Caenorhabditis elegans: one gene and its partner. The protein of the gene in region 1 purifies or fractionates together with the protein of each later gene. This does not show direct contact. Each region holds a gene or a part of one and is shown in the gene's direction. Other genes may lie near its edges. The genes, in order: cyn-9 and mif-1.

Region 1 (16,284 bases):
TCAATGATAACTTCCTCAAATTTTCTATTACTATTTTTTTAAATTTTCAGGTAATTATGTCACTGTCAGTGTCCTTTATCTTCCTCCTGGTCGCATCAATCGGAGCAGTTGTTGCTGACAGCGAAAACGTGCTTGTTCTCACTGAAGTATAACATTTATTCTGATCATTATCTTCTAAAAAACTGTTTTCAGAGCAATTTCGAAGAAACTATCAATGGAAATGAGTTTGTTCTAGTCAAATTCTATGCTCCATGGTGTGTACATTGCAAGTCTCTTGCTCCAAAGTACGACGAAGCCGCCGATTTGCTGAAGGAGGAAGGATCCGATATCAAGCTCGCCAAGGTTGACGCCACCGAAAACCAAGCTCTTGCATCCAAGTTCGAGGTCCGTGGATATCCAACTATCCTCTACTTCAAGAGTGGAAAGCCAACGAAATACACCGGAGGACGCGCCACCGCTCAAATTGTCGATTGGGTCAAGAAGAAGAGTGGACCAACTGTTACCACTGTTGAGTCAGTTGAGCAACTCGAGGAATTGAAGGGAAAGACCAGAGTTGTTGTTCTTGGATACTTCAAGGTATTTTTTTACATAAAAAGTACAACCTATTTAATTTATTTATTTTTCAGGACGCGAAATCTGATGCTGCTACCATCTACAACGAAGTTGCTGATTCTGTCGATGACGCATTCTTCGCCGTTGCCGGTTCTGCTGAGGTTGCTGCTGCCGCATCTTTGAATGAAGATGGAGTCGCTCTTATCCGCACTGATGGAGACGACAGCGAGACTAGCACAATTGCTGAAGCTGAAATCACCAACACCATCGCTCTTAAGCAATGGCTCCACGCTTACAAGCTCTCTGCCGTGACCGAGTTCACCCACGAATCTGCTCAAGAAATCGTCGGAGGAGACCTCAAAAAGTTCCACTTTTTGATCATCCGCAAGTCAGACTCTTCTTTCGATGAGACTATTGCCAAGTTCACTGAGGTCGCTAAGAAGTTCCGTGCTAAGATCGTCTTTGTTCTTCTCGACGTTGATGTTGAAGAGAACGCAAGAATTCTCGAGTTCCTCGGAGTCGATGCCAAGAACACCCCAGCCAACAGAATTGTCAGCCTTGCCGATCAAGTTGAGAAGTTCAAGCCACAAGAAGGAGAAGATTTCGAAGCTTTCACCAACTCATATTTGGAAGGAAAGTCTGCTCAAGACTTGAAGGCTCAAGATCTTCCAGAAGATTGGAATGCACTCCCAGTTAAGGTTCTCGTCGCCTCCAACTTCAACGAAATTGCCCTTGATGAAACCAAGACTGTCTTCGTCAAATTCTACGCCCCATGGTGCGGACATTGCAAGCAACTGGTTCCAGTTTGGGATGAGCTTGCTGAGAAGTACGAGTCCAACCCAAATGTTGTCATTGCAAAGCTTGATGCTACTCTCAACGAGGTAAGAATTTTGAAAGTATCAATATTCATAATTATTATTTCCATTTTCAGCTTGCCGACGTCAAGGTCAACTCTTTCCCAACCCTGAAGCTGTGGCCAGCCGGATCTTCTACCCCAGTCGACTATGATGGAGACAGAAACCTCGAGAAGTTCGAAGAATTTGTCAACAAGTATGCTGGATCTGCTTCCGAATCTGAAACCGCATCTCAGGATCACGAAGAGCTTTAAATTAATAATATATATGTTATTTATTGTTTGAAGTCACGGCGTTGAATTGTGATTACTCGTTTTTTTTTGTTTCCATCCGTATATATTATATATATAAAACCCTAAAAATTGAATCCCGGAGAATGTTTTTTGTTTCGTTGAGGCTTCTGTGAAATTATATTTCTTTATTTCGGAATTTAAAATTTCGAATCGAAACCAAAACCATTTTCAGGCTGCGAATGGCCGCTGAAAAAAGAGTGTTCCTAGATATTTCAGTCGATGAGAATCTGATTGGAAGAATTGAAATACGACTTTTTGTCGAAGATGGTTAGAAATCTGCCCAGAAAATTAATTTAAAAAAAATCAATTATTTTTCAGCACCTAAAACATGTGAAAACTTTCGAGCATTGTGCACAGGAGAAGTCGGAATGACTCCAAATAATAAAGCACGGCTTCATTACAAACAAAACGAATTTCATAGAATTGTAAAGAAGTTTATGATCCAGGTCCGGCGGTTTTTAGCTGAAATTTTTGAAAAATTGACGATTTAGGGAGGAGACATCACAGAAGGAGATGGTAGAGGAGGATTCTCGATCTACGGACGATACTTTGACGATGAAAAGTTCAAATTAAAGCACTCAAGGCCCTATTTGTTGTCAATGGCCAATAAAGGACCAAATTCAAATTCTTCTCAATTTTTCATCACAACGGCTGCAGCTCCACATTGCAATGGAAAACATGTTGTTTTTGGAGAGGTGCATAATGGATTTTAAAGAATATATTAATTTTATAATTATAAAATCATGATTTCACGAGATTCTAACATAAAGGCGCAGAGATTTATTCAGATGGGTCTCGGCGCGAAAGACAGTTTATGGTAGTCATTTTTGAAGTTTTGCGTCTGTTTTCACTTTGTTAAAAATTGTTTTTCAGTTTTAAAATAAAAAGTAATGTTTTGTTCATAAAATCATTTTTACAGGGAAAACCGATTTAAAACGATTTCAAAATAACAGAAAAATGAACAAAAAAACCAACTACTATAAATTTTTAGCACGCCGAGACCCATCTCTTTAAAGCCGTGCGCCTTTAAGTCAAAATCTGTTGAAATTACGATACTTTTATACTTTAATGTTAAAATAAATTGAATTCCAGGTTGTCAAAGGACAAAACGTTGTAGATTACATCGACAATCTTGCGGTTGATGATAAATCGAAACCACTCGCAAAAGTTTTGATCTCCAATTGTGGAGAACTCGTGAAAAAGAAGAAACCATTGAAGACAGATGAAGAGCTCGCCGCTGCTCTCGAAGAGAAAAATAATAACGCAAGGGACAATGAGATCCCGAAATGCCCGAAATCTTGGCTCTATCGTGATGATGACAATGAGAAGAAGCATGAAATGAGAAATGATAAGAGAAGAGAGTATCGATCGAGAAGATCAAGATCTAGATCTCATGAGAAGAATCGCGACTATAAGGTTTATTTTGTAATGAAAAATTCGGTTCCAGGTCTCGCCACGAAAAGAACCAAATATTTTCGAATCAATCGATCAAGAATTGAATTTCGCTGATTTTTCGATTTTTAATGGAAAAAATTTGCAAAAAAAAAAGTTTACTTGATTGGAGAAATCTAATTTTTAGCATCTTCCTGTCATTTCTCCATTTTCCACCAAAATTAATTCCCGATTTTTTGAAACTATTTTAAAGTTAAATTTCTTAATTTCTTAAACTAGATTTTTTCAGAAAGAAAATCGAGGAGATTCTTCGCGAAGCCAACCTCGCAGAGATGAAAACGGAATTACTGTACGTGGGCGTGGAGGAGTACGCTTCCGACGCGAAAGATCTGCGACTCCGGAGCACTGGAGAAGAAATGCGCCGACGGTATTTTAAATCTGAATAATTATAATTTTTAAATTGAATTTTTGTTTCAGAAATGGGTTCACGACAGCCACAAACATCCAGAAGAAGATCTCGTTTAAATCTTTTTTTTAAAATTAATTTAATTAATTCGTTGTTTTTATTTCCAGCTCGGTGCAATACAAATTTTTTAGTTTATTATTTTTATAAATAGAAGAAGAAACAACGGAAAACACGCATTTCTTGTGGCAGTCTTCCGGTTTCTCTTCTCAGATTTGTACCTGACACGGATACCTTTGATCTCTCTCTCTCTCACCTCACTCGTTGAATAATTTGTGAGAACCTGGCATATTCTTTTGTCGGGGGCTCAGAGACAACTCCTCCTACTCGAGAAGCTTCGAAAAGAGAGAACAAAGACTAAAAAATCGTTATGCTTGATTTGATTCCGGTACTCCCACTGGTTTTGTTTGGAGTTTCTTTATTTTTTTCGAAAATTGGTTGAACTTTTTTTTTCAACTTTCTTACAAAAAATATTTTTTGAGTTTAGAAAACTAAAAAAAAGGTTTTTTTCTGTTTTCAGGTACGTTTTCTGGAAATTTCTAGCGTTATTCTTGGCCTCACGGCCTCCACCACGAGAAATGCGCACACTCTCTCGCTTTTTGTTTGCGCGTTTGCGGACGACCACCTTGCCTCGCCGCCGCTTTCAACAGATATTCATGAAATTGAGCTAGAATCGCTATTTTTGAACGAAATTTTGAATTTTTTTCACAGAAATAGTGAAGTTGATAAAATGGGAAGGCGGAACTTACAATAAATAGTTAATACGAGCTGTTTTTCAGTGGTTTTTAGCAAGAATTAGATGGAATTAGAAGAATTATGGACAGAAGAGCACTTTTTTAGATTGAAAATTGTTAAATATGATACGATGAGTGTATTTGAACGGTTTAAATAAAGAAAATATGTACGACTGTGGCTTCGGGTTGATTCTCGCTCTTCTCGTGGTGAAGTGTATGTACTTTATGGACTTTGAACAGCTACAACTTTTTTCGCGTTGGAGATAGAAACTAGCGGTGAACTGACAAAATGAACATCACAAATAGGTGAACATTTCTTAGTTGACAATTTTTTGATATCTCGTTCCACTAAAAAGATACAGCTATGATTTGATGAATGAAGTCCCAGTTACAGTACCCTCTCTTAAAACCATCAAATCTCTGTCCTCGCTGAAGATACAAAAATATTTTCAACTGAGAAAATGTTAAGCAGATAAAAAACAACATTTACCAGCAAAAACTACATTTCTATCTACAAAAATAATGGAGATTTTGACTTTTGAAAAGTGATCATCTTAAACCGGCCATATCAAAAAATCCTAAACATTAAAATTGGTTTTTTTATTGGGAAAATACTCTATATAAGATATCTAACACATTTGCAGTTGACTACTTTCTTCTAAAGTCTTTATTTTTTGAGTTATGAACTGATCTCTGATTTTCTCATAAGTACGACTTTTGGGGTCTATATTATCTGTCTTACTAGTTAGAAAAATATTGTCAACAGAAAAAATGTTCACAATGTCAAACTGAACATTTTGTTAGTTGACAACTTTTTTGTAACTTTCATAGAAGCGGAGATAGGAGCATCCAAAGTGTGAGGGCGCAGTAGAGCGGGTACTGTAGTCGCCACCCAACCTTCTAGATCAAAAAACATATTTTCAACATTGACCAATTTTTATGTGTGATATGTCAATTTGTGCGTATTAAAAATTATTACAATCGTATTTTTTCCGATTTTTCAGTCCAAGCCAAGAATTTCCTGAAAATTGCGAAAAACCTGAAAATTTGGTCATTTTAGTACTGTAGTCAATCTTCTAGATCAAAAAACATATTTTCAACATTGACCAATTTTCATGTGTGATATGTCAAAATGTGCGTATTAAAAATTAGAACAATCGTATTTTTTCCGATTTTTGAAATCTTTCATTTTACGGTCACTAGCTTCCGGAAAGTGCTGAAATTTTGAGCTGTAAATGTTTGATGTCAAAAAAAGTTTCTCTCATAACTTATTTATTGGGGTTTTTTTGTATTAACTCATTAATTGGGAATATATTGAATACATTTTACAAAAAAAATTTGGGAAAAAATCTTAAACTTGCTCGTTTTAGAGGGGAATGTGTAATATTATGTTCACTCTCTTCACTTATTTCAATGACAAAACTATTCTGTGAAATTTATGCCAGACTGTAGAGGACAGTACTCTGCATCCGTTCCAATTGTTTCTTTTCAGAAATATGCATTTTCCTTTCTTCCCGACTCCTTCTAAGTGAGGTGGTTGAGCGCGCACTCTCGCCATGCTGTGGAGGTGAGAGACGCAGAGACCGCCTTTTTCTCTGCGCTCTCTCTGCGCATTTCTCGTGGTGGAGGCCGTGTGGCCTAAAGCCTAGGAATGGCCGCGAGAAGAAAAAAAACTCGGCCACCATTATTTTCACGGCTATGTTCCAAAATCCTCTTTCTGTGACATAAAAAACTATAGATATTATACATATTGTAGAGACGCAGAAAACTGAAACAAAGTGCAGACGCGCTCCACGGACAAATGAAAATGCTCCGGCTACCGTAATTTGGGTCTCGTTGGGTATTGGCGGTAAAGTCGTTAGTTTGAATTTTTTCAATGGTTTTCACCGGTTTTCTAGCATTTTTGAACATTTATTCCCGTTTTTCATACAAAAATTATTGAAAAGAGAACTTTTTCTACATTAATTTTCAATAATTCACTTTGGCTTTGAAATCGGTGAAAATAATTGAAAAAGTCTGAATTTACGGTTTTGCCGCCAATACCTAACGAGACCCAGCTGTTGTGGGAGGAGCGTTTTCATTTTGCCTTGGAGCGCTTTTGCGCTTAGATTAGTTGTTTGAGTCGCTAATGTAATATTAGAAATATCTGAAATCAAAGCACAAAAAATAATATTGAAAATCGGATTAAACTAACAAAACACATGAGAAGTAGGCGGCCTTTTTCGGCAAGTGTTGCGACTATTGGTCTCGACACGATCGAAATATTCTTACATCAGTTTTAGCAAAAAAAAAACGCATTTCACGACAAATGTCTGAAAAAGCGTGCATGAAATCGAATAAAAATCAATTTTTTTGCCTCGTTTTCAGGAATTAAAGTGGAAGCCTCTCAATTAAATCTCAAAACTGAGTCCATTGCTCTCTAGACTCCCGCTTTTCCTCGAATCCTCCCCCGAGCACTTGTTTTTTTTTCAGACTGAACTATCAAGGTTCCTCTTCTTTCCCCTCAAGACTTGTTTCTCTATATCATTCTTGAGTGTTTTTCAGCAGTTTTTTTCAGCTTTTTCTGATTCGATAGCACCTTCTTGGCGCAATAATCTCATTGTTGACATCCGGCTCTCGCGCCTTTTTCCTGTTTTTTTTTTCTCTCGAACAGCTCTTGGTGCATCATTTGGTGTTTCACTTGAGAAATATGGCAAGGTGGGTGGATTTTTTGTTGTTGCGAACTTCAATTAATCTCAAAATAGTGAAAAATGAATTTTTCATGTAAAACTAGTTATTTTTTTCAAGGATATGTAATGTTTCTTACGCTTTTAATTATTATGCAGACCCGAAATTTTGCGATTTTTGCACGAAAAATATGGTCGGTCTCGACACGACAAAATTGTGTTATACATATCTAGAAAGGGATGTGCGCCTGTAAAGAATACTGTACTCTCCAAATTTCTTTTGTTGCTGCCGAATTCTTATCGATTTTTAAAATTTTTTTAAAATGTATTTTTGATTGTTTTATTCTGCTTGGTTTTCAATAAACAAATATACTTTCTTAAATAAAAATCTATTCAAACTGGAACTACAGTACTCTTTAAAGGCGCAAACCTTTTTTCATTTAACAATTTTGTCTTGTCGAGACCGGGTGTCGTATTTTTCGTCTGGGTAATACGAACGCTGTGTTTTCTTGGCTTGAAAACAGAATTAAAACAGAATTTAAAAATCCTTTCCTTGAACTAAATAATCCCATTTTCCTTCTTTTCACAAGGACTACAGTACTCCAAATTTGCACCTGACCCGATCTAATTTCCAGTAATAAACCAGATTGTGAGAACTCCAATTGCAAAAATAAAATTAAACAAGTGGTCTCTGAATTTATATCCGTTTATGCTTTTGAAATCTAATTTTCTTCTCAATTTCACTCGCAGATTTTTTATGTTTTTTGCATGGACTTTGTGTTTCAAGATTGTTATTTTAAAAGGTAACATACTTTTTAAAAACTAATAAAAAATTCATTAAGATGTTAGCCATACGCGAAACTTTGAGATTTTTTTAAGAGCTGAATTTAAAAAAAATTTAAAAAATTATATTTCAAATAAACTAAAAACATAATTAAATATCATTTTTGCAGTAGTATAGTTCTAAAAAAGAATTTCAGTTTTGACAAAAATACACATTTGACACCGCCCCTCCTCCAAAAAATTTAAAAAAAATTTCCCCCGATTTTTCCTTATACCGTATATTCTCTATTAGTGCTGCATGTAGCACTAATTTCCAGGCCCTTTTTAAATGAAGCACTATTAGAGACTGCAGTACTACTGGAGACTGCAGCATTAATTTTCGAACGGCTATTTTCAATTATAGATCACTAGTTTTTAGTCACAAAAGCTCTTTTTTTTAAGCAGAAATTCATAAAAATTGCGAACTTTTGTAACAAAAAGACCCAATAATTCAATTAATTTCGTAAATTATCAAAAAATCATCAAAAATATACAAAAAAAATACCCAAAAATATCGAAACAGTCAAGTGACTCTTTCAATAGAAAATGGGGTGCAGCACTAATAGAGACTGCAGCACTATTTTTTGGACCCTTTTTGAATGCAGCACTATTAGAGACTGCAGTACTACTGGAGATGCAGCACTAATAGAAAATATACGGTATATCTCGTCCATCTTTAATGATATCAAAAATTTGGCAACTACAAAAATGTAGAATACAATTTTTTACATAACTTCGCAGTTCAAATTGTTTTGCTATCATCTAGCTGAAACCTTAAAATTTATGTTTTACCATCACTCTTCAAAATTGGAAAACGTTTTCCAGAATGTTCCGAGTGTGTCGCATAAAATTACATTAACTCTCCCTTTTCTGTCTCTCTTTCAACATTTAAATTTGCACGATTAAAAGAAGATTCCACCGGAAGATGTGTGATCATTTTAGAGTCCAGAAGATTGGCTCTTTTCAATTTTTGAACCAAATGTTTGTGTTACATTTTTTTAAATTCTGAATTAGAATATTTTAGAAAACTATTGAAGCGATGAAATTTAATTCCAGAATTTCTTTGTTTTTGTCCATTGGAACTCATCAAAAATGAATGTGGACAAGAAACATTTTTTTTTGGGAACAAACACGTCAAGCCTCCCACTGATTTTTTTCAGAACTTTTTGAAAAATAAATTTCTGAAGTGAGATATTATGGGTGGAGTCTAAATGGGCTTTATTTTCGCTTCAAGACCTGTTCAAAAATTAATTTATTACCTTTAAAAATTGATCAAATAATTTTTGGCACTATTTCCTTCCAAATTCCTACTTTGACTATTTTTCCAAAAATTCAATTTTCAATTTTTTTTCCCAAAATCTTAGGCGCGAAATTTAAATTTATATTTTTACATAGATATCTAGATTACCATTAGATTAGATTAAATAGATGTGCAAAATTAAAAAATAGAATTTATTTTTTGAACAATTTGGCGCGAATTTAAAAATTCGGATATTTTCCAACAAGTTTTGGTTCCAAATTAAAATTTTTGTTGAAAAATTATCGTGAAATTTAAATTCCGCGTATAAAAATAGCTTAACGCAAAATTCAAAAACTCAAAAATTATTTTTTCGCAAAATTATTCATCGGCTCAATGCACCATATCTTCTGCAAAACTTTGCTCAAAAATCTCTTTTCAAATTTTCCCATTAAAATACATAAAATTTAAAATAAATTTAAAAAGATATCCAACGGAAATGACAGAATTGCAATAAAGTCTAATGTCTTTCAATTTTATGCGTTTTTTTTTCGTTTCAAGACGAGTCTATATTCAAATTGGGACGTAATAAACGTAACGTTTGTGGATTCTTAATGGTTTTTTCTTGCTCAAGATTTCCATGACAAAATGAGCATTCATTTGCCCCTGTGAGAATGCTCCGAGATATTTTCTACCTAGTGATGAACAGTAGAGCACACTTGCTTTGACGTAATTTTTAAACTTCCGGTTTTTGCCTGTTTTTCTGATATTTCAATATGCTTTTCGTCGTGATGCTTTCTTTTAACAAGCAATATGACTAACCTAATTTGTGCGTCGACCCCTGTTATTCTTCATGTATTTTTTGTTTAACGTCATTATAATATTAAACATCTCAAGAGGGAAGTAACAAAGATCTATGGTTTTTGGGTTTTTTTTGCGGAGTAGAACTATTTTTTACTCAAAAGTTATCTTAACTGCCGGCCTGCCACCTTCTTTTTTTAAATTAGAAATATCATGTGGTGTCAGAGAGTCCTATTACGGTTTGATCTACAAAAAGTGCGGGAATTTTTCGCAAATGTGACAACAACACGTTCTTAACCATGCGAAATCAGTTGAGAAGTCTGCTCCTGCATTTTTTGTAGATCTACGTAGACCAAACCGAAATGGGACACTCTGACACCACATAAATTTGCACAATAATCTGGTTCAGCGACTTTCAAGGCACCACATTTAACACACAATTCTAAAAGATCAAGAAAACTGCAATAGAGCGCAGATGCATTTTCAAGTTCAAAAATTTTCTGAAAAAGCTTGACTTCCCTATCCGTCATTCCACACTTAAAACAAAACGAGATAAGTACTTCTTTTTCTCTTCACATCAGAATGCGGAATCAACATTTATTCCCTTTTTGTCTTTATTTTTTCCTTTCCCATGAGATTGACGAATTCGCACGTTAATTTTTTATGCAGCAGACAGAAAAAGGCGAATAGTTTTCTGACAGAAAGTAGCAGAAATTATAATTTTTAAATACATTTTTTCAGCGAGAAACCGATCACAAAAGTAATTAACTGAAAAAGAAGAAAAACTGAACGTCTATTAAATGAATTTTTTTTGTTCTTCTTTTCCTGAAAAACGTCACATTCAGATGTATTTTCTGGTATTTTCTGAGAAAAAGTTATTATAAACAACAATCTGAAAGTCAGCGGCTCACCCTGAAAAATAACTACTTTGCATGAATTAGAATATGCCATAGCACTTTAGCTCAACAACTTAATTTACTGTTTGTTCTTTTACTTTTATGTTAAATAAGCGTTTTTTTTCGAATCTGCACCACTTACTTGCCTACGTGCCTGCCTATGTGCCTAAGCAATCTCTGCAGACCAGACCTGTGAATTACTACTTCCATGTTTTTTTGATCGCTTTTTGATTGTTATTAATATTTTTATTTTTAATATACCTCAAAATCAGACACAAACAGGTTTTTTCAGCCAGATTAATATTCTCAGGAGAAATTGCAAGATTTTTGGAATTCTTTGTAGCTTTCACGGTTCATTTGGGATTGCATACTAGGAAAAAAGTATAGAAGTTCTCTCTGACTTCTTCCAGTTCCTGAGAAAAAAAATTTATAGTAGCAGTCCACTAAGAAAAATTCAGATGCCGAGGAGCACTTTGAGCTGCAAAATAAGTCGATCTAAAATGTTTTCAGTGCGTTTTTTTCACAATTTTCTAGTTCCAACTTTGAAATTTTGTATACAAACATTATGGAAGCTTTTTGAAAAAATCGGAATATTTTTCCAAACCGGTTTCCCTCCAAAATAAATTATTGAAAAATTAACATTTTCTTAAAGCATAAAATTAGTTCTTTATGCTTTCTAAAGCTGGAAACAACTTTAACTAATTTTTTTCTAATTTTTCAAAAAAAAAAAGTGGAAAAAACCCGAAAAAAAATTTCAGATAGACTTTTTTCTGTTTTAAAAATTTTCCTAATAGTATGCATCTAAACGTTCGTCGTCCGATGGGCTTCAAAAAAGTTTTGTCTTTTTCAAAAAAAAATCTATAATTTTTTTGGATACATTTTTTCACAAAGAACATTGTCCAACAATTTCCAGAATGTCCAGTTACCCATTAACCCTCAAGAAATAATTTTCCAAACTACTAACAAAGCAAAAAAAAACTTCCGCTTTTCGATCATCAGTCTACAGTACTTTATGTGGCAACCAGCAGCTCTTCTTCCATCGCGACCCCCAACAACCGAATTGCCTATTTGCTCAGCCATTTCTAATTCTCTCGTTACATAAATCGTTCAACACTGTTTCAACACGGAAAATTTTGCCTCAACTGTGTGAATTGCCCCCTCGTGTGCTCCCTTTTCTAAAATCTGCCAAGTTTGCACTGATTCAGGAGGGAGCACACAAAGAAAGTTCAATTGACGTTCGTTTTAATCGTTTTTATTGGTAATTTTGTCTTGTGACTACTACACTGTCGTTGAGATTTGCGCGTTAAATATGGTGTATTGAATATTTTGCAAACAATTTTTCGATGCACCATGTTTCACAAGCCATTTTTTTAGTTATTCTACCAGAAAATTCTGAAAATTGCGCGGTAAATCTAGCGCATTAGACATTTTTTTGGATTCGATGCACCATGTTTTATGGATATTTTTGTAAAACGCCACATTTCATTTTTTTTATTCTTAATGTCTAACTTTTTATAATAATAACTTTTTTATAATAAATCTATTTTTAAACAAATTTTCTATAAATTTTTCAAAAAAATTTGCCCGTAAAATCTAATGCATTGGGACCTATTTCTGGACGGAATGCATCACATCTTACGCACATTTTTCAAAATAATTATGCATCAGATTTTCCGCGCAAAACTCTGCTCCGAAGCTTCCATGGCGTTCAAATTTCACTGTCAAAAATAGAAATCGTTCGCGCGTATGACGCATTTTGTGCGCAACATTCCTGTAATTTCAAATTTCACGAGCATTTTTTTTTAAAGTTTGTCTCTCAATTTATTGTAGAAATTGAATTTTCTGTAAGAAATTGTTCTTAAATTTGCTCGGGAAATATTATGCATTAGGGAAAAATGCATCAGATTTTACGGGCAAAACTGAAAAGACTAGCAATATATATTTTCAATTAACTTCAAAAAACCTTCAATTTTCACTAATACGTGACATTCCTGACCACAAGGAGGGTATTTCCTGTCCAGAAGGGGCTCACAACAATTTGCAGAAAAGAGCTTGAGATTTGCTCCGAGCATCTTTTAGTTCAATCCTTATTTGTTCTAACAACTTCTAGGAATGCATTTTGATGCACCTTTTCTCCACTTTTTGGGACTTTGAAACAATTTTTAAATTAAATTTTTAGTGGAAGGAAAAGTATAATATTTGTTCAGCATTTGTCGAGCCACATGACAATGTGCTTTGTTGAAATAAAAAATAATTTCGTATTGTCAAAGTTTGCGCGTAATTTCATTTGTGATGTTTTGAGTTCTTCGATTTAAAATTCTGTAATTCTTTGTACTGAGCACTGTGATCTTTTGAAATTTTAATGCCTAAAAAATCATCTAATATGCAATAAGTGGTGTGCTTGAGAAGGGCATGACGCGTGGTTGTATGCAACGTTTTTTTCGATTTAGAGATTTTTAGTTTCTAATCTTTAATTTTGGCTTCTTTGCAGTAAAAACTGACGTTTTTTTTTTCTAGAAAAATCATAAAAAAATTACTAATTAAAAACATATATTTCTAATGAGCTGACGCGAGTTTAGTCATCAAAAATGTTTGGTAGATCTACAAAAACATTTTGTATTTTTTAATATTTTTGAATTTTAAAACTTGTACAAATTCCTCAGTTTTTTTTATTTCAAAAAAATGTTTAAACAATTTCTTTGGAGTTTTTTTTTGAAATTTATTAAAATTCTCAACAAATTTTATCTTGAAAGTTGTTTTAAAAATTCCAGAAATATCTCATTTTTAATTCTGAAATAGTTCTGTAAAAGTTAAAAAAAAATTTCAAAATGTTCTCAACTTATTGGAAAAATCTTTCTAAAATTCCAATTTTTAATATTTAAATTTAAGAAAAATTCTCAACCAATCATACATCAATTCCAAACCAGGTGACGCCAATATTTGGTCAAGTTCTAAGTAATCTGTAATTTTAATTATAGTGACAACTGCTATATGATTAATTTTATTTTCTCAGTAATCTGATGATGGGTTTTTGTTAACTTCTTGGAAATTTATTTTTTATATAAATATGTATTTATTCTTTTTAAAAACCATCTAATCCAATATGGCAATAATTTTGAAGCTTGAAAATTGACGGTCGAGTTTTTCAATTTGACATCATTTTTCAAAAATTAGTAGAACATATCCGAATTTTCTCATTTCACGGCCACCTAGAAAAGTCCAGGCCCCCTTCCGAACATTGCTCATTTCCAGCTCAAGCCACAAACTTCATCGCCCACTCAATTTGAAAGTGTAAAACATCTCGATTTCCTGCCTAATTACATGTTACCCTCTTAGACACTTCTGATGACATCCGATCGGTTATAATCCGTTTAGTCTAATACACTTTCAAGTATCAAAGGATTATATTTTTTTACTTAAATATTTTGTTATCCAAACTATTTTTTTTATTCTCAGAAGCATTTTCTTGATGACATAATTGTGGCCTGCGAAGGTTTAGGACGGCTCTTGTGTCTAGCTACTTTTAACTTTGGAATTGGTGAAGTTACGAAATTTCTTAATTTTGTAGAAAAAATTTATAATATAGCGCATTGTGGATTTTTGGAGATTTTCGGCTCAAGGACTTATTGCACCAATTCTTTTAGATTTTTTCATAATAGAACATAACATCAATTTATTTTCGCCTACCAAAAAAATAAAAAAATTAAATTTCCGGTATCCAGAGCTCCCGTTATAATTTCCTGTACTCTAAGAAACCTGGTATTTTTCGTAGTTTTCTGACTTCTTATTACAAGACATTTTATACCTTCAAGACCAGATGTCAAAACATATGTTCAACACGTCATAAAGTCATAGTGAATGAATTCAAAAATATGAATGCTATTAGATTTTTGAATTTTTCTTGTTCTTCTAAAAAATTTTTTTTTAGAAAATAGTTGAATTCTGATACTAACCTAAACCTTGTTCATTTGCTCAATTCAATTGCTCATTTCCATATATACTCTTATGGGGTTATTCAAGTAATGTAGCAAAATGTATTCCAATACATTTGTGACGTCACAAATGTATTTAAATACATGTTTTTGTTTACTTGAATACAGTTGTGACGTAATTTTTCTACACTTTTTAATTTTCCGACACTACTTGAATAACCCCATTACCATTTTCAAAGATGTTATTCGATGAATTTTTAGAGAGCAGGCAGGTCCTTCTTAAAATAGACCTCTTGACTTCCTGATTCGCGGCAGTTTTCTTTTGAAAGTTTATTTTTGAGTTCGAATTTGATAATTTTTTGTTCTGTTATTTTGATTCTGATTGTCTAAAAAATGGAATAAAACATTAGCGGCTTCAACAGACATTTTTTGTTCGATTTTTATTTTATTGTAGAAGAAGCCAATAGAAGCCAATAAAACCTTTTTTTATTTCAATCATTTTTAGCTTTGAAATTTTTTATGCCTAAAACAGTAGGAGAAATTGTAGTTCCGCGTCCCGGCATGAGCAAACCTTTCCCCTACTGTGCCTGTAGTTCTTTCATAGTAGGCTTACTACGACATCCTTCTTACACTACGGCAACCTTCAGGAGACTACCAGTAGACTTGAAACCTATTTCATTCAATAGTTCTAGTTTAGAAACGGTTTCTCTTACGTTTTCAGTTACCAAACTTCAAAAGCAAGCTCTCAAAAATGGCAAAGTTGCACTGTAACGAAGCTCTAAAGGGCCAATTTTCAAAAGAAAGCTCATATCTCTGCGAAATAATTCTTTATAGAAAAGTCATCAACTAAACACTTATTAATGTTATTGTAAAAAACAAATTTGTAGTTAAAAGTTTTTTACCATAAATTTTTTGTTTGAAATAAAAGCGCGTGAAGTGCGGCAAACAAACATTTTTTCTGTAAAAAACTTTGAATTCTTTAAGTTGAAATTTTTTTAAACCTTTGCGGTTTATAACCTAATAATCAAAATAAGTTCCAATAAAATGTCGAATATTTTCAGCGTACCATTGGATCCGATGTCCGTAGCGGTGGGCATCCCCTACGTATGTTTCTTCATAATTCTCTCAGTCGTCGGAATTATTGGAAATGTGATTGTGATCTATGCGATCGCAGGTGATAGGAATATGAGAAAGTCTGTGATGAATATCTTGTTGCTCAATTTGGCAGTGGCAGATCTTGCCAATTTAATATTTACAATACCTGAATGGATACCGCCCGTCTTTTTTGGAAGTACTGATTGGTAAGTTGGAAAGGGGACAGTTGTGAGGTGGCCTAAGAGAAGCGAAAACTCGGACAGCCAATAAATTATAGCGGCCGAATTTTGCTTTTCTAGACTAGTCATCAATGATATTCCAATTGAGTTAAATCTGAAAATTGGAAAAAATATGTAATTTCAAATTTTTGGCTATAAAAAGGAGAAATCAAAAATGGGCTCAAAAATAACTCAAAAAATCTAATGTGAACAAATCAAAATTAAAAAAAAATACATTTCAAGCTTTACAACAACCTGGAGATTCCCCTAAATTCAAGGCCCAGTCTTAAAAAAATTTCAGATAATTTCAGACCTTTTAAACTAAAATC
Region 2 (16,284 bases), 8.1 Mb from region 1:
AGTTCTCAGATTTCGGTATACCACCTTTAAATGTACATGAATCGACGAAATAATATGGGAAAAGCTGTCAAAATATGCAATAAAGGAAGATAATTTCAAAAAAAGTTGATTTCAGACACGAAAAAGTTGGAAAATTGGAGATTCTAGATGAAATTAGGCACCGAAATTCGTTTATTTGAGCGATTCCTTCGAATAAACTCACCTTTTTGAAGCATTTGTCAATTTCTGCTAACAGTTTTCGCTTTTCAGCCATTGTACTGCAAAAATAAATGTTTAAAATTTGAAATGAATGGGTTTTTTGTTCGAAATTATGGAAAATGGAGCGTTTTTCCTGCAAAAATCGGGTTTTCTGGGTTTTTACCGCGAAAAAATACACAAAACTATGCGAAATTACCGATTTTTAGGCCAATATTGAAGTTTCAGCGCATTTTTTACGCTGAAACCTCGAAAATCACCTAAAAATCGATAATTTCATACTTCTGTGCATTTTTTGCCGAAAAAACGCCTGAAAAGCCTAAATTCAAATCTTTCGCGTGTTTCCGCTAAAAAAATTCGATTCTATAAGATTTTCAGACATTTTTCCGGAAAAAATCAAAATTAAATGTGAAATTATTGACTTTTAGGCAAAAATTTGAAGTCTGAAAATGATTTTTTAGTGGAGAAATCTGCCTAAAATCAATAATTGCACATTAATTCCCAATTTTTTGCGGAAAAGGCCTGAAAATCTCACAAAAAAACGTTTCAAGTCAGATTTCACCGAAAATAGGACAATTTTAGCAGGAAAACCACTGAATTTTCGCGAAATTGAAGAAAAAACCCTCCATTTTCCATAATTTAAAGCACAAATCCCGGAAGAATTGAAAAAAAAGAGGACGAAAAAAAAGTTTTGAATGAGGAAAAACTCGAGTAAGTGTGCGTCAATGTGCAGCAGAAAGGGAAGCGCAGAGAATAAAAGATGCAAAACAAGCCCGTTGGAGAAACAAATTATCGATTATATGCCGTAATACCCGCTAAAAATCGCAAAAAACCACGAAAACATGCAAGAAATCGTCCGATGAAAGATGATAATGCCGGCCAGGAGAAGCGAGAAGACCACCATGTCAACAAAGTCCGTGAAAATCGATAATTTTGAAGAGAAAAATGACATGAAAATATCGAATTTGTGTGGTTTTTGTTCGATTTATTGTAATGGAAACGAGAAAATAAGCGAACACTGGAAAATAATTGGATAAAAAAATTAAAAAAAAAAACAATTAAAATGAATTTCCGCGTCATTGGCGGTTTTTGGGACAACACAATTTATTTTTTGAATATTTCATTGCAATAATCAAAAAAAAAGCCATGGAATTATTAGATTATTTTAAAATCGATGCTTAATTGGGAAAAACAAGCAATTAATTGAATTTTTGGGCCAGAACCCAAAAAAAACTGACTTTCAAAGGATTTTTCGGTAAATTTCCCCGATTTTCAATCAGAAATTCCCATTTTCTATTAAATAATTGAATTTTAAAACCAAAAATCCCCCCAAAACCAAAACCGAAACGTTGCAAAAAAACATTTATTGCAAAAAAACATTTCCGGACGAATCATCTGACGAGGTACGGTCGACAATTCGGGGAGGGCGCTTTGTACGCAAAAGTGTTTGCGTACATTGTCAACCGTACTCTCAGCACTTTGTTTTTTTGTTTTTATTCTTATCTAATTTCTCATTTTTAATGAGAAATACCCCCCAAAACAACCAAATTTCGGGGGGAAAAACCGAAAATTTCCACATTTTTTCATTTCGCAGCAGCTGGAATACAGTATATCGCATATTTTAATAGAAAGAGCTGCGACAAGGAAAACTTGGCGAAATCTGGCCATTTAGGGTCATTTGGAGCCAAAATTCAGCTCTTTCTCCGATTTTTCTCTCTAAATTCCCTAAATACAAGGAAATTTTCCAGAAAATGCCAGTTTTCTCCATCAATGTCAACGTAAAGGTCCCTGCCGAGAAGCAGAATGAGATCTTGAAAGAGTTGTCAACTGTTCTCGGAAAGCTTCTCAACAAGCCGGAGCAGGTATCAACTGAAAATCTGAATAATCTACAACGAGAACACATAATTCCAGTACATGTGTATTCACTTCCACGAGGATCAGGGAATCCTGTATGCTGGGACCACTGAGCCAGCAGGCTTTGCCGTGTTGAAATCGATCGGCGGAGTTGGAAGCGCTAAGCAGAATAATGCGATTTCCGCCGTCGTTTTCCCGATTATTGAGAAACATCTTGGGATTCCAGGAAATCGGTACGGAGGCCCCACAGAAAGGAGGCCCCACCACGGAAAAGGGATCTGCGAGAAGGCGATCTGTCATTCGAAATTTTTCGATTTTCAGCGTTAAAATTACGGTTCCCGGTCCTCCTATGTTTTGTTACATTGCGAAAAAGTTGCGGAAAAGCAGCGCCGCACAGAAAAAGAGGCGGGGCGTGGTTTCGCAACCCTGCCGCACGGTTTTACGACCTAGTTCAAAGTTTTTTAGTAAAAGAATGATGAATTTCTTTTCCGCGATGCGAATTCCCGAATGAAGCCCCGCCCAATTCCGTACCGCAGGTTTGCAAAATTACGCTCCGCCTATTTTTCTGTGCGACGCTGTTCTTTTTTTGCAAGATTCACTGATCGATCATTTAATTTCAACAGTACTGCAAAATTTTTGAAAATTTAAAACCAAGAACTGGGGGGGCTTAACTCTGGAATTTTTTTCCACGGATCAAAATCCCCCGAATTGAAAAAATCCCCCCACACCCATTTATTGTTTTGTATCAATTTTTCCGTTTTTTCAGGTGCTTTTTGCAAAATTCACGGGTACATTTTTTATCAAAAAAAAAAAAATTCCAAAAGTAAATTTACAGTACTCTTTTAAGGCGCGCACCTTCCCGGAATTTAAGTTTTTTAATAATTTGTCGTGTCGAGACCCCTGGTACCGTATTTTTTGGCGCCAAAATCGTAAATTTTGAAGATCATGCTACCAGATCCACATCTTCCCGTGGTGCCTCCTGTGTGATTCGACAATTCAAATTTCAGCCTCTACATCGAATTCGTCAACCTCGGCGCCGCCGACATCGCCTACAACGGTCAAACCTTCGCCTAAATTCCATTTTTTCACACCTACTTATGTACTTATTCCCTCACACTCCACGCCGTTAATGTAGAAATCAATAAAAAAATAGAAGCAGAAAAAATACTAATTCAACAGCAAAAATTCAAAAAATTAGGAATTTGTAGTTCATTTCAACAGTGCAAAATTGTGTAGGGAAAAAGAATAAAAATTTGAAAAAAATACAAAATTAATTTCAAATTATGAGGCTTTAAACCTATGTGCACTACCAGATAAAAGTGAAGGAATTGTTTTAAAAACAAAAAAAAAACATCTTCTGGTAAAGAAGAAGAACCCGGGATACAGGAACAAAGTGGTAAATAGAAATTTTGCGAAGAAATTTGAAAGGGCTCAAAATTTTGGGAAAAAAATAGCCAAAAATTCGCTAAAATCTGAAATGATGTCCCATTACGGTTTGATCTACAAAAAATGCGGGAATTTTTCGCCCAAAAAATGTGACGTCAACAACCATTGCGAAATCAGTTGATCTCCCGCATTTTTTGTACACCACGCACTGAAATAGAGCTTTTATGAAAATTTCCCCCCCTATCTGGAATTAAATAGTTGGTACAGGCACATTTTAGGTCGCTAGGCGCCTGCCTATGCCTACCTAATTCAACGAACTAGCACGAGATAAACGCGATAAAGGGTGAAAAATTGATAAAAACCATATTCCAACCGCTGCAGAAAGGAAAATTGGTGAAATTTCAGATTTTAGCAATTTTTTGGGTTTTTTTTTTCGAAATTTTGAAGTGTTGGAGTAGTGTCAATGGGAATTTTGCTTGGAAAAAGCATAAAAATTGTCTCAAATTCAGAAAAACAAAAAAAAAATCGAAGGAAAAATCCAACGAAAACGCTATTTTTAAAATTCCCTCCAAAATGACAACTCCGCCCACTCCGCCTGATTGGTCGTGCAGTTCTCAATTTGGAGGGATTTTGAAAAATCGCCTTGGATTTTTCATTCTTTCTCGATTCGTTTTTCTTTTGTGGTATGCCTAAATTTAAGACAATTTTGGATTTTTCGAAGCAAAAAGAAAAAAGATTATCACATGGAAATCGGAGAGAAAAAATCAGTATAAAAATGACAGATCGGGCGGGTAGAAGAAGCAATAAACGACGACACGTAAGAGGGGAAAAAAAAAATTTTTTTTTTAATAATTCAATACTAGTTTATGGCTAATTTGACGAAACCAATGACAATATTAAGGATGAGCACACCGGTGCCAAATGTTAGAATCAGGTACTGGAATAGTTCACGGCGTCTGGAATAATTTATGGGTTTAAGTTGAAAAAGAGAGAATAAAAAAGATTAAAAAGCCAAGAAATGGGCGGGGCTTTATTCGGGAACTCGGATCCGTGGGAACAAAAATTCCAAAAAAAAATCACATTTTTAGTCTGAAAACGTGTCAACAAAATTAGTGCTTAGTTTTTGAAAAAAGCTCAACTAAAAATTATGGAATTTTCGTTCTCGCGGATCTGGATTCCCGAAATTAAACTCCGCCCAATTATTGGCTTTAACTATTTTTTTTCTTAATATTGCGGTGCTGTTGAAATAAGATCTGTGGATTTTGCAACAAAAAAAAAACACTGTCGCACAGAAAAAGAGGCGGGGCATAAATTCGCAACCCTGCGGCACGGTTTTTCGTAGATTTTCTCAAATAAAGTTTCGATTTTTCTTCTTTTCTTATATTTTTTCGAATGAAAAGTTATTCTCAAAATAATCGAAAAAAAGAGGCTGAAATGAGAAAAATCTCAATTTTATTGAAAAAATCTACGAAAATCTACGAAAAACGTGGAAAACCGTGCCGCAGAATTGCGAAATTAGGCTCCGCCTCTTTTTCTGTGCGGCGTCGCTTTTTTTCCTGCAAAATTCAGGGATCGAGCATTTAATTCCAACAGTACCGCAATATGAGACAAATAATAAATAATAACCAAGAAATAGGTGGGGCTTTTTATTCGGGAATTCGGTTCCGTGGGAACAAAAATTCCAAAAATTCCCATTTTTAGTCTGAAAACGTGCCAACAGATTTTTTCTCTCAGTTTTTGAACAAAAAACTCAACTAAAAATGTTGGAATTTTCGTTTTCGCGGATCCAAATTCCGCGAATTAAGCTCCGCCCATTTATTGGCTGTTTCGCATCAATTTTTCGGGTTTTTTTTGTTGCAAAATTTACCTAACGCTCAAGCCGGAACTCTTCAATAGCGTATGAACTATGAATTGCCCATCAAGAGCATACACAGGCATTGCATTGAATAGGCCAAGTGCCAGAGACAGTGTGAACAGGTATTTGGCGGTTAGCTCAAAATGTTCGAGCCACGAGATGCTGGCGAACGTGAAGCGCGGAGTGAACGACGATATTGACACCATTTCGAGCATCTGCAAAAATTTTTTGCGAAATTTTAGATTTTTAAAGAAATTTTTGGATTTGACGGTCAACCTGTTATTATGGGAACACAAAATTCCGAGAATGCATATTGCACAACATATTTGACGCGCAAAATATCTCGTGGCGAAAAGAAAACTACAGTAATCCTTTAAATGACTACTGTAGCACTTGTGTCGTTTTACACTGCAACTTTTTTCGAACGAGGGACGAGGCAAAAAGGTTTCTAGGCCATGGCCGAGTCCCCGACAAATTTCAGCGGCCATTTATCTTGCTTTGTTTTCCGCGTGTTTTCTTTTGTTTTGCACCGATTTTTTCCGTTTTTTCTTATCAAAACAAATAAATAAATATTTTTTGCAGATGCTAAAACAATTTCCAAGTGAAAAAATTGTGAATTCAGCCGGCAAGTAGCAGTGAAAGTGGGCAATGTAATATGATGGATTACGGCTATACAAAACCCAAACTTTTTCTGAAACATGATATATATGCTTTTAAGATGCTGAAAGTACCTGATTTTCATAACGAGACAGCTAAAAAAGTTTTTAGATTTTCAAAATTCAACATTTTGTGCCAAAATCTCGACTTTTTTACCAAAAAAGTTGAATTTTGAAAATCTCAAAACTTTTTCAGCGGTCTCGTTATGAAAATCAGGTACTTTTAGCATCTAAGCATCATATGTATCATGTTTGGGGAAAAGTTTGGGTTTTGTATTCCCGTAATCCATCATATTACATTGACCACTTTTACCGCTACTTGCCGACTGAATTCACAATTTTTTCATCTGGAAATTGTTTTAGCATTAACAAAAAATATGTATTTATCAGTTTTTATAAGAAAACACGGGAAAATCGGTGAAAAACACATGAAAACAAAGCAAGTAGAAAATGTCGTAAAATGTCGTAAATTGTGTGCAAACACCGATTTTTCGCATTTTTTCTCAGCCCTCGTTCGAAAAAAGTTGCAGTGTTTACGGGCTCGTTTTTCGAAATGAAATTTTGTTAGCGAAATTCAATTTTATTTACTATTAATTTGTGGTCATTTTTGTGTGTGTGTGTGTGTTGTTGTTTGAATAATTTTATCGATTAATAACTAATTTCCGTAAATCGACACAAACGGCTACAGTAGTCATTTACAGGGTTACTGTAGTTTTCTTTTCGCTACGAGATATTTTGCGCGTCAAATGTGATGTGCAATACGCTTTCTCAGAATTCTGTGTTTCGGTAATAGGTGTCGCACAGAAAACGAGGCGGAGCGTCGTTTTGCAAACCTGCGGCATACCGGCCAAGGCTGTCATAAAATCGAATAACCGAAAACCGAAAATTATCGATTTTCTGAAAAATCGAAAAATTTTAGTTTTTCGATTTTATAAAACATCGTGTACTCCTCGTAGACGACTGTCAATTAGTTTTTCGCAAAATTCTACAGTTTTTGTCCTCCAATGCGAAATAGCCAAGAAATGGGCGGAGCTTAACTCGGGAATTTGGATACTCAGAAATAAAAATTCCATAATATTTTTAAATCTTAAAATGTATAAACAAAAGCTCGACTAAAAATGATGGAATTTTCGTTCCCGCGGATCCGAATTCCCAAATTAAGCCCCGCCCATTTATTGGCCAAGCATTTTAGACAGAAACCTATAAAGTCGGCGCAAAAAACTAATTCACACTTTTCCAGGAGGTGTACACACGAATACACGAAGCTCCGCAAAATTTTCACAATTTCCCGGGGCAAAAATTCCCGCATTTTTTGTAGATCAAACTGTATTGGGAGTGCCAATTTGGGACAGCCTGAAACCACGGAAAAAAACCAAAAAAAAAAGGCTTCTGTACCTCATTGAGCTGCCCCACAAAAAGAATAGGCTTATTTCGATTCGCGAGCTCAATTTTCACAAGCCGCGTTCCATTGTGTAGTGCCGGATAGACACAGATCTTCTCCTGATGTGCTGCTGGGGTTTCCTCCGTTTTACACGGCTCACTGGCGTTACAGAGCGCCTGCTGAACCACATATCTCGCATGAAGGCAGCTATACTTTGTGATCTTCTTCTCTTCAGGCTGTGCAACACCACCGTAAGGTAAGGCATCATCTCGGCCGCCGCCGCCGCCTTCTAACCCGAGAAGAGCATTGAGCTGTGGAGCTCGTGTCTGTGTGTCGACCGACAACTTGCTGGCTTTCTCTTCTCGCTGGAAACAGACGTGAGCGGTGGTCACGTTAAACTCGTCACAGCACAGAATTTCGTCGGCTTCCGTGCGGTGCTGAAAATCGGCTGTTTCAAAAAATTTGGACCAAAATAGCCAAGAAATGGGCGGAGCTTAATTCGGGAATTTGGATAAGCGGAAACGAAAATTCCTTTCTTTTTAAGTCTATAAAAGAAATTTTTTTAGTTTTTGAAAAAAAAAATTTGAAAAAAATTCCCGCGGATTCGAATTCCCGAAATAAGCACCGCCCAATTCTTGGCTATTTTGCATTTGCATACTTTTTTAAAATTTATATTGCGGTGCTGTTGATGATAGATCCTTGAATTTTGCAAAAAAATGCAGCGTCGCGCAGAAAAAGAGGCGGAGCGTAATTTTACAATCCTGCGGCACGGTTTTTCGTAGATTGTTTCCAATAAAGTTTCGATTTTTTGTGTCATTTTTTCTTTCCAATGAGAATGTTATTCTCAAAATATTCGAAAAAAGAAAAATCTCAACTTTATTGGAAAAAAAGTGGAAAAACTGTGCGACAGGGTTGCGAAATTAGGCTCCGCCCCTTTTTCCGTGCGGCGCCGCCTTTTTTGCTGCAAAATTCAGAGATAGATCATTAAATTTTAACAATATTTAAAACTTTTGTAGCTCAAAGCAGCGTCGCATAGAAAAGAGGCGGAGCGTAATTTCGCAACCCTGCGGCACGGTTTTCCGTAGATTTTTCTTGTTTTATTATTATATTTTTTCGAATGAAAATGTTACTCTCAAAATATTCGAAAAGATTCGAAAAAAATAGAAAAATCTCAATTTTATTGAAAAAAAAATCTACGAAAAAAGTGGAAAACCGTGCCGCAGAGTTGCGAAATTAGGCTCCGCCTCTTTTTCTGTGCGGCGCCGCAAAATTCAAGGATCGATCATTTAATTTCAACAGTACCGCAATATAAAAAACATGACAAAGAAAAAAGGGGTAAATTGGTACAAAATAGCCAATAATTGGGCGGGGCTTAATTCGGAAATTCGGAAATTCGGATCCGCAGGAACGAAAATTCCATCATTTTTAAGCTGAATTTAAAAAAAAATTAAAAAATAAAATTTTGTTTATACATTTTTTGACTGAAATTTTTGTTGGAATTTTCGTTCTCGCGGAACCAAAATCCCGAATTAAGCCCCGCCCGGCTATTTCGCAATAGTCAAGAATTGGGCGGGGCTTAAGTTTGGGAATTCGGATCCACGGGAACGAAAATTCCATCTTTTTAGTCGTAAAAACACAATTTGTTGTTAGTTTTTAAAGAAAAAAGCTCAGCTAAAAATGATGGAATTTTCGTTTCCGCGGATCCAAAATTCCCGAATTAAGCTCCGCCCATTTCTTGGCTATTTCGCACTAAAATTGTTCAAATTTCACCAATTTTCTCCGTTTTTTCTCTGTTATACTGCGGTAAATTGGAGCAATTTAGGGCGAAAACATTCAAATAAACGAAAAATTCACATTAAACGCCGTAGCCGCCTCGACAGATTCCCGATCAACACATCTCCCGTTATTCATATTTTTCGACGTTCGAATACACCTCCACCAGTCGGCAACAGTCTCCACACGACACTCATCGACACTTTTCACAACGTCTCCAGCGACAAGGCCCGTTCGCGGATTGGATAGGCCTGAACGAACATCGACACCCCGTACGGACACGCCGTAACCGTTCGCCAACACTGGTGACAGAATGACTGGAGACGCATGAAACATGGCCATTGCGAGAAGAGCCAGTAGGAGATTGTGCCAGATTCCGGCGCCGAAGATCTGAAGTCTACGGAATGTGGTGGCACGTTTCAGAGTGACGGCTTCAATGTCTGTGAAGGCACCCGGATATACTGCAAGGATGAAGATGCCGAATCCGTTGACTGTGACACCGTTTGATGTGGCCGCCCACGCATGACCGAGCTGCAAAATATTTCGATTTTTTTGGCCAAATCGGCGGAATTGAAATTTCTGGTAAAGTGCCAGAATTTGAATTTCCGGCAAATCGGCAAATTGCCAGAATTGAAACTTCCGGCAAATCGGCAATTTGCCGAAAATCAAAATTCCAGGCAAATCGGCAATTTGCCGAAAATCAAAATTCCCGGCAAATCGGCAATTTGCCGAAAATCAAAATTCCCGGCAAATCGTCGGAATCGAAATTTCCGGCAAATCGGTAAATTGCCGGAAGTGAAATTTCTGGCAAATCGGCAATTTGCCGAAAATCAAAATTTCCGGCAAATCGTCGGAATTAAAAAAGGGAAATTGCCGGAATTGAGATTTACGGCAAATCGGCAAATTGCCGGAATTGAGATTTACGGCAAATCGGCAAATTGCCGGAATTGAACATTTCCGGCAAATCGGCAAATTGCCGGAATTAAAAACTTCCGGCAAATCGGCAAATTGCCGGAATTGAAATTTCCGGCGAATCGTAAAATTGCCGAAATTGAAATTTCCGGCAAACCGGGAAATTGCCAGAATTGATATTTCCAGCAATTTGCCGGAATTGAAACTTCTGGCAAATTGCCGGAATTGAAATTTCCGGCAAATCGAAAAACCGGCAAATTTCCAATTTTGCCTGAAATACGGCAAATGCCGAAAATTTTCACAAAATTGTGGTTGTGCACATTTTTTTCGCTGGGATATATCTAAAAAAAAAAAACAGGAAAAATCTTTTCGAAAATCCCTCTAAAAACTTCCGGCAAAATTGATGTTCGGCAAACCGGCAAAACGGCGGCATAACTAGGTTTAAAAAATCGAAAAAAAAAATCGATTAAAAAAAATCGATTTTCGAATTTCCAAAAAATTAATGGAATTTTTTTTTTTTGAATTTTTTCACATTGATAATCGGTATCGGGAGCATTAATAAGGCCTTTAGAAACATTTTGAAATTTTTTTAAAAAATTTTTAAATGCTCAGGTTATCCCGAACCTCATGAAAAACCGCTGCAACTATCAAAACGAGCATAAAAATCGGAATATGTCCCCACGGAAGGTTGAATCCAGGAATTATCGGAACTAATCCCCGATCTTCAGATTTCTGCCCATCCTCAATCATATCGTATTCGGTATCCTCCATAATCACCGGGTTATGAATTTGATCCGAATTTGCTGCTGTTGTCTGAAAAACTTTCGTTCAATTTAATATAAATTCTTCATAGATCTGAATCTCCCGAACCGTCTTCGCAGGTGGTGGTGCCACGGCGGGGCTCAATGAAGTCAGAACATGGTGCATCGATCGATACTCCATTCCACGATAAGCTTGAACTTTTGGTCGAGCCGTTGTCATCCATTGTCCGACATCTTTGATTAATAAATGTGACATGTAGAATGTCATTCCGAAGAGACAGATGATGGAAGCAATGACACCGCACGCGAACCACATTCGGATCACGAGGATTCGGCATTTCAGGCGACGTGATTCTTCGAAAAATATATCTGCAAAAAAAAATGTCACGTGGTGTCTCATTTTACTGCAACTTTTTCCTCACGAGAGACGAGGAAAAGTGGTTTCTAGGCCATGGCCGAGGGGCCGACAAGTTTCAGCGGCCTTTTATCTTGCTTTGTTTTCCGCTTGTTTTCTTTCGTTTTTCACAGCCTTTTGCCGTTTTTTCTTATTAAAACTGATAAATAAATATTTTTTGCAGATGCTAAAACATTTTCCAAGTGGAAAAATTATGTATTCAGTGGGCAAGCAGCGGGGAAAGTGGTCAATGCAATATGATGGATTACGGGAATACAAAACCTAAACTTTTTTTCCAAACATGATAAATATACCGCTTAGATGTTGAAATTACTTGATTTTCATAACGAGACCGCTGAAAAAGTTTTGAGATTTTCAAAATTCAAATTTTTTAGTGAAAAAGTCGAGGTTTTCGCACAAAAAGTTGAATTTTGAAAATCTCAAAACTTTTTCAGCGGTCTCGTTATGAAAATCAGGTAGTCTCAGCATTTAAGCAGCATATTTATCATGTTTCAGAAAAGTTTAGGTTTTGTATTCCCGTAATCCATCATATTACAATGCCCACTTTCACCGCTGCTTGCCCACTGAATACATAATTTTTCCACTTGGAAAATGTTTTAGCATCTGCAAAAAATATTTATTTATCAGTTTTATTAAGAAAAAACGAAAAAATTCGGTAAAAAACGAAAGAAAACAGGCGGAAAACAAAGCAAGATAAATGGCCGCTGAAACTTGTCGGCCCCTCGGCCATGGCCTAGAAACCACTTTTCCTCGTCCCTCGTGAGGAAAAAGTTGCAGTGCATTTCGCTTTGTTCTACAAAAAATGCGGGATTTTTCCCCCCCCCAAAAAACTGTGTTTAATGTCATTTTTCATAAAAATCTGAAAATTTTCGCTCAGTTTACGATAGTGGGTCTCGACGCGAATTCGTGTAGTAATTCGGGTCTCGTTGTTAGGTGGTATACCACGTGGTGCCAAGCTGTTTCATTACGGTTTGATCTACAAAAAATGCGGGAATTTTTCGTCGCCCAAAAACCTGTGACGTCAGCACGTTCTTAACCATGCGAAATCAGTCTCTTCTCCCGCATTTTTTTGTAGATCAACGTAGATCAAACCGAAATGAGACACTTTGACACCCCGTGAAATGTTGGTTTTTGACATTTCGGGGGCTTCGAAAAATGTTCTATTTTGCGGTTTTTATTGATTTATTGATTTCATTTATTTATTTATTCCCTCTCAACTATGCGAAATTTCAAGAGATAATATTTTCCGGAAAATCGAAAAAAAAAGTTCTAAAAATTAACAAAATTCCACATTTTCTCAAATTTTGGTAATGTTGATGGCAAAAAAAAACATTAGAAACATATTCAGGGAACACAAAATTCTGAGAATGCGTATTACACAATATATTTGACGCGCAAAATATCTCGTAGCGAAAAGAAAACTACAGTAATCCTTTAAATGAGACTACTGTAGCACCTGTGTCGATTTACGGGATCTCGATTTTTGAAATTTTTTTTCGAAAAAAAAAATTATTTTTCAAACAGAAAACGCTTACTCATTAAAAAAATTCTATTGATAAATTTTTTTTTGCAAAAAAAATACAAAAAAATCGAGATCCCGTAAATCGACACAAGCGCTTCAGTGAAGAATTACTGTAGTTTTCGCTACGAGATATTTTGCGCGTCAAATATGTTGTGCAATACGTATTCTCTCAGAATTTTGTATACTCGTTGATATTTTCGTTGAAGTTTTCAAGTGTTCTATTTTCCGAAAAATCTGAAAAATCGAAACAAGTGCTCTAAAAATTAACAAAAATCTTTTTCCATTACTATTTTTAAAAAGAAGAAAAAAATACAAAAATTTAGGATTTTTTTTTTGAAATTTCGGAACATCAAAAATCGAAAAAAAATATAGAAAATGGACAAACGTTGGAATTTTTTACAGATTTTTGTTGACTTTTTTATAGAAAAATTGCAAATAGCTCCCACGCAACTTTTGGAATTTTACAAAATTTTTACGGAAACTTCGGCATTTATTAATTTTTAAAAATATTTTGCCTAAAATTTTCAAATTACTTAAAATTTCAATTTTTGTTGGGAAAATTTTTGAAAATTTAGAAATTTATTGCTGTTTTCGGAATATTTGATTTCTTAAAAAATAGTTTCGGAAATTTTGATTTTTTTGGGAAAATTAAAAATTTAAAACTTTCGGAATTCAAATTTTAAAAATTTAATTTTTACGCGGGAATTTGAAAAATTTCCGCAAATTTGTCGGTATATATATTAGGTCTCCAAATAAGTTCCGGGCCAAAAATCATAACTTTGTTCGCTGCGTATCGATTTTTATGAAACTTTGGGAATTAATGTTATCAACCATGATCTTTCATTTGACAATAGTCACAAAATTTTTTGACCGTCCGAAGTGCCCAAACTCAGAGCCAATTTTTTCAGGCATTTTCAGATCTCGCTTTTTTTCAGGTTTCAATTGAGGTCTGTGTGCGGATTTTGCTAAGTTTAGTACACAATGTAAGAAAACAAAAAAAGTTTTGGAAAAAATCCGTCCAAAAAAATTTTTTTCGTCGGTCGTCAACAAATTTTCAAAAAAATTTTTGTCGAAAATTCTTGATTTTTTATACAAATTTGAGTATGAAATTTGGATCTCGAGAAATACTCCAAAAACTCAAAAATATTTCGAAAAATATATGTTTTCTGCTATTATTTCAGTGTGACGCACTAAATTGAAATGTTTTGTATGTGTAAAAATAGTTTGCACTTGGTTACATCATTTTTGTATAAAAAGTCAAAAATTTTCGACAAAAATTTGTTTGAAGATTTATTGACGACCGACGAAAAAAATTTTTTTTGGACGGATTTTTTCCAAAACTTTTTTTGTTTTCTTACATTGTGTACTAAACTTAGCAAAATCCGCACACAGACCTCAATTGAAACCTGAAAAGAAGCGAGATCTGAAAATGCCTGAAAAAATTGGCTCTGAGTTTGGGCACTTCGGACGGTCAAAAAATTTTGTGACTATTGTAAGATCATGACTAATGAAAGATCATGACTAATGAAAGATCATGGTTGATAACATTAATTCCCAAAGTTTCATAAAAATCGATACGCAGCGAACAAAGTTATGATTTTTGGCCCGGAACTTATTTGGAGACCTAATATATATACCGACAAATTAGCGGAAATGTTTAAATTCCCGCGTAAAAATTAAATTTTTAAAATTTAAATTCCGAAAGTTTTAAATTTTCCCAAAAAAATCAAAATTTCCGAAACTATTTTTTAAGAAATCAAATATTCCGAAAACAGCAATAAATTTCTAAACTTTCAAAAATTTTCCCAACAAAAATTGAAATTTTAAGTAATTTGAAAATTTTAGGAAATATTTTTAAAAATTAATAAATGCCGAAATTTCCTATTTTCTATTTTCGGAATATTTGATTTCTTAAAAAATAGTTTCGGAAACTTTGATTTTTTTTGGGAAAATTTAAAACTTTCGGAATTTAAATTTTAAAAATTTAATTTTTACGCGGGAATTTAAACATTTCCGCTAATTTGTCGGTATATATATATATATCCGTACCCCGCTTCTTCTCCTCATCAACAACAATATCGGTGGGTTTTTCACTTAAAAGTGTATCTTTTGGAGCGGGTGTGACGTAGAATCGAAGCTGAAACGGTGAAACTTCGATTCCGAATCGATGGGAAAGACGGAGATATGGCTCGAAATGGGCGACTCGGAGCACATAATCTATCAGAAATACCGCACTCCACGCGATTAGGAAGATCGCGATCGCACTTGTCGCCAGCATATAGTTTTCTGCAAAAAAATGTGTGTGTGGATTTTCAGAGAATTAGTATTCCTAAAACTGGTTTTTTTTTTGTGAAATTAGGGAATTTTGAACTCCCCGACCAATCAGCGTCTCCGAGAGCTCCGCCCACTTCGTTTGATTGGCTGGAAAGTGGGCGGAGCGAATCGCTGATTGGTTTTGCTGTTTAAAAATGGAGTTTTCACTTTTTTGGAATTTTTCTAGATTTTTTGTATCTCAATTTCGTGGAAAAAATTTATTTCAAAAAAAATTCGATGAAACATTGAAATTAACTGAAAATAAATAATTTTGCGGAAAAATGTGTGCAAAATAATTAAAATTTAGAAAAAAATCAATGAAATTTTTGAAAAATGATTTTTCAAAATTTTCGGCGATTTCTCTAAATTTTTTACAATTTTTTTTTAAAACAAATATTAAAAAATTTCGACGGTTTTTGAAAATTTTTAGTGATTTTTTCAAAAATCCAAAATAAATTAGGATGAAAAAAATTTTTTTTCTATCAAAAAACTCTCAACGATTTTCTACATTTTTTGGCGGTTTTTCCAAACTTTTTACGATTTCTCCAAAATTTCAACGATTTTCTAAATTTTCCTCAATTTTTCTAATTTTCCCCGATTAAAAAAAAAAATTTTTCACGATTTACCGAAAGTAATAATTTTTTCAATAATTTCAACATTTTCGACGATTTTTTAAAAAAATTTTTAATGATTTTCAAAATTTTCAGCGATTGTAAATTTTTAAATTTGTGTCAAATTTTTTTTTAAATTTTCAACGGTTTTTCAATTTATTAATGACTTTTCTAAATTCTATTCAAAAATCCGATAAAAAATTTAGAAAATCACTGATATTTTTCAAAAATCGATAAAAAATTCGAAAAAAAAAATTTCTTAAATTTTTATTGGTTTTTCACATTTTTCGCATTTTTTCTCATAATTTTCAAAGATTCAAATCATTAAAAAAGTTAGAAAAAAAAAACTCACATATAAATTTGCTCTTTGCTCTTCACTTTAATCGCATTCTCGGCCGATTTTCTGTCTGAAATTTGGATTTTTTCAAGAATTTTTCAAAAAAAAATTCTAATTTCTCACGAAATTTACCAAATCTGAAGTGTTGGAGGTATTACTCAAGGACTTGAAACCTTTTAAAAACCAAAAAAATGAAGAAAAAAAATTTGTCATAAAAAGAGGAAATTCATCGTGGAAGACCCGGAGAAAAGGAGGTTTTTGAATGGAAAATTAAAATTAAAACAAAAAAAAATTAATTTTTAAAGTTTCTTGA

The links.
Region 2: the proteins of cyn-9 (region 1) and mif-1 fractionate together in Caenorhabditis elegans (co-fractionation; one large-scale study listed by BioGRID). This does not show direct contact.

What each region holds. Positions count from the first base shown.
Region 1 is NC_003281.10:3,685,228-3,701,511, reverse strand, and holds cyn-9 (Peptidyl-prolyl cis-trans isomerase 9), read left to right. Parts: upstream 1-1,871; 5' UTR 1,872-1,878; coding exon 1,879-1,966; intron 1,967-2,017; coding exon 2,018-2,145; intron 2,146-2,190; coding exon 2,191-2,394; intron 2,395-2,791; coding exon 2,792-3,115; intron 3,116-3,380; coding exon 3,381-3,518; intron 3,519-3,568; coding exon 3,569-3,616; 3' UTR 3,617-3,691; downstream 3,692-16,284. Other genes in the region: pdi-1 (Protein disulfide-isomerase 1), read left to right, coding at 57-146, 193-576, 627-1,433, 1,484-1,660; npr-15 (Neuropeptide receptor 15), read left to right, coding at 15,720-15,943. UniProt on the Caenorhabditis elegans protein: PPIases accelerate the folding of proteins. It catalyzes the cis-trans isomerization of proline imidic peptide bonds in oligopeptides. Thought to function as a catalyst in the folding and modification of cuticle collagens.
Region 2 is NC_003281.10:11,846,209-11,862,492, forward strand, and holds mif-1 (L-dopachrome isomerase), read left to right. Parts: upstream 1-1,943; 5' UTR 1,944-1,946; coding exon 1,947-2,057; intron 2,058-2,106; coding exon 2,107-2,282; intron 2,283-3,056; coding exon 3,057-3,123; 3' UTR 3,124-3,314; downstream 3,315-16,284. Other genes in the region: ntl-3 (Not3 domain-containing protein), read right to left, coding at 203-253; Y56A3A.2 (Membrane-bound transcription factor site-2 protease), read right to left, coding at 4,295-4,391, 5,303-5,505, 7,342-7,764, 9,182-9,631, 10,637-10,825, 10,883-11,142, 14,760-14,988; taf-12 (Transcription initiation factor TFIID subunit 12), read right to left, coding at 16,271-16,284.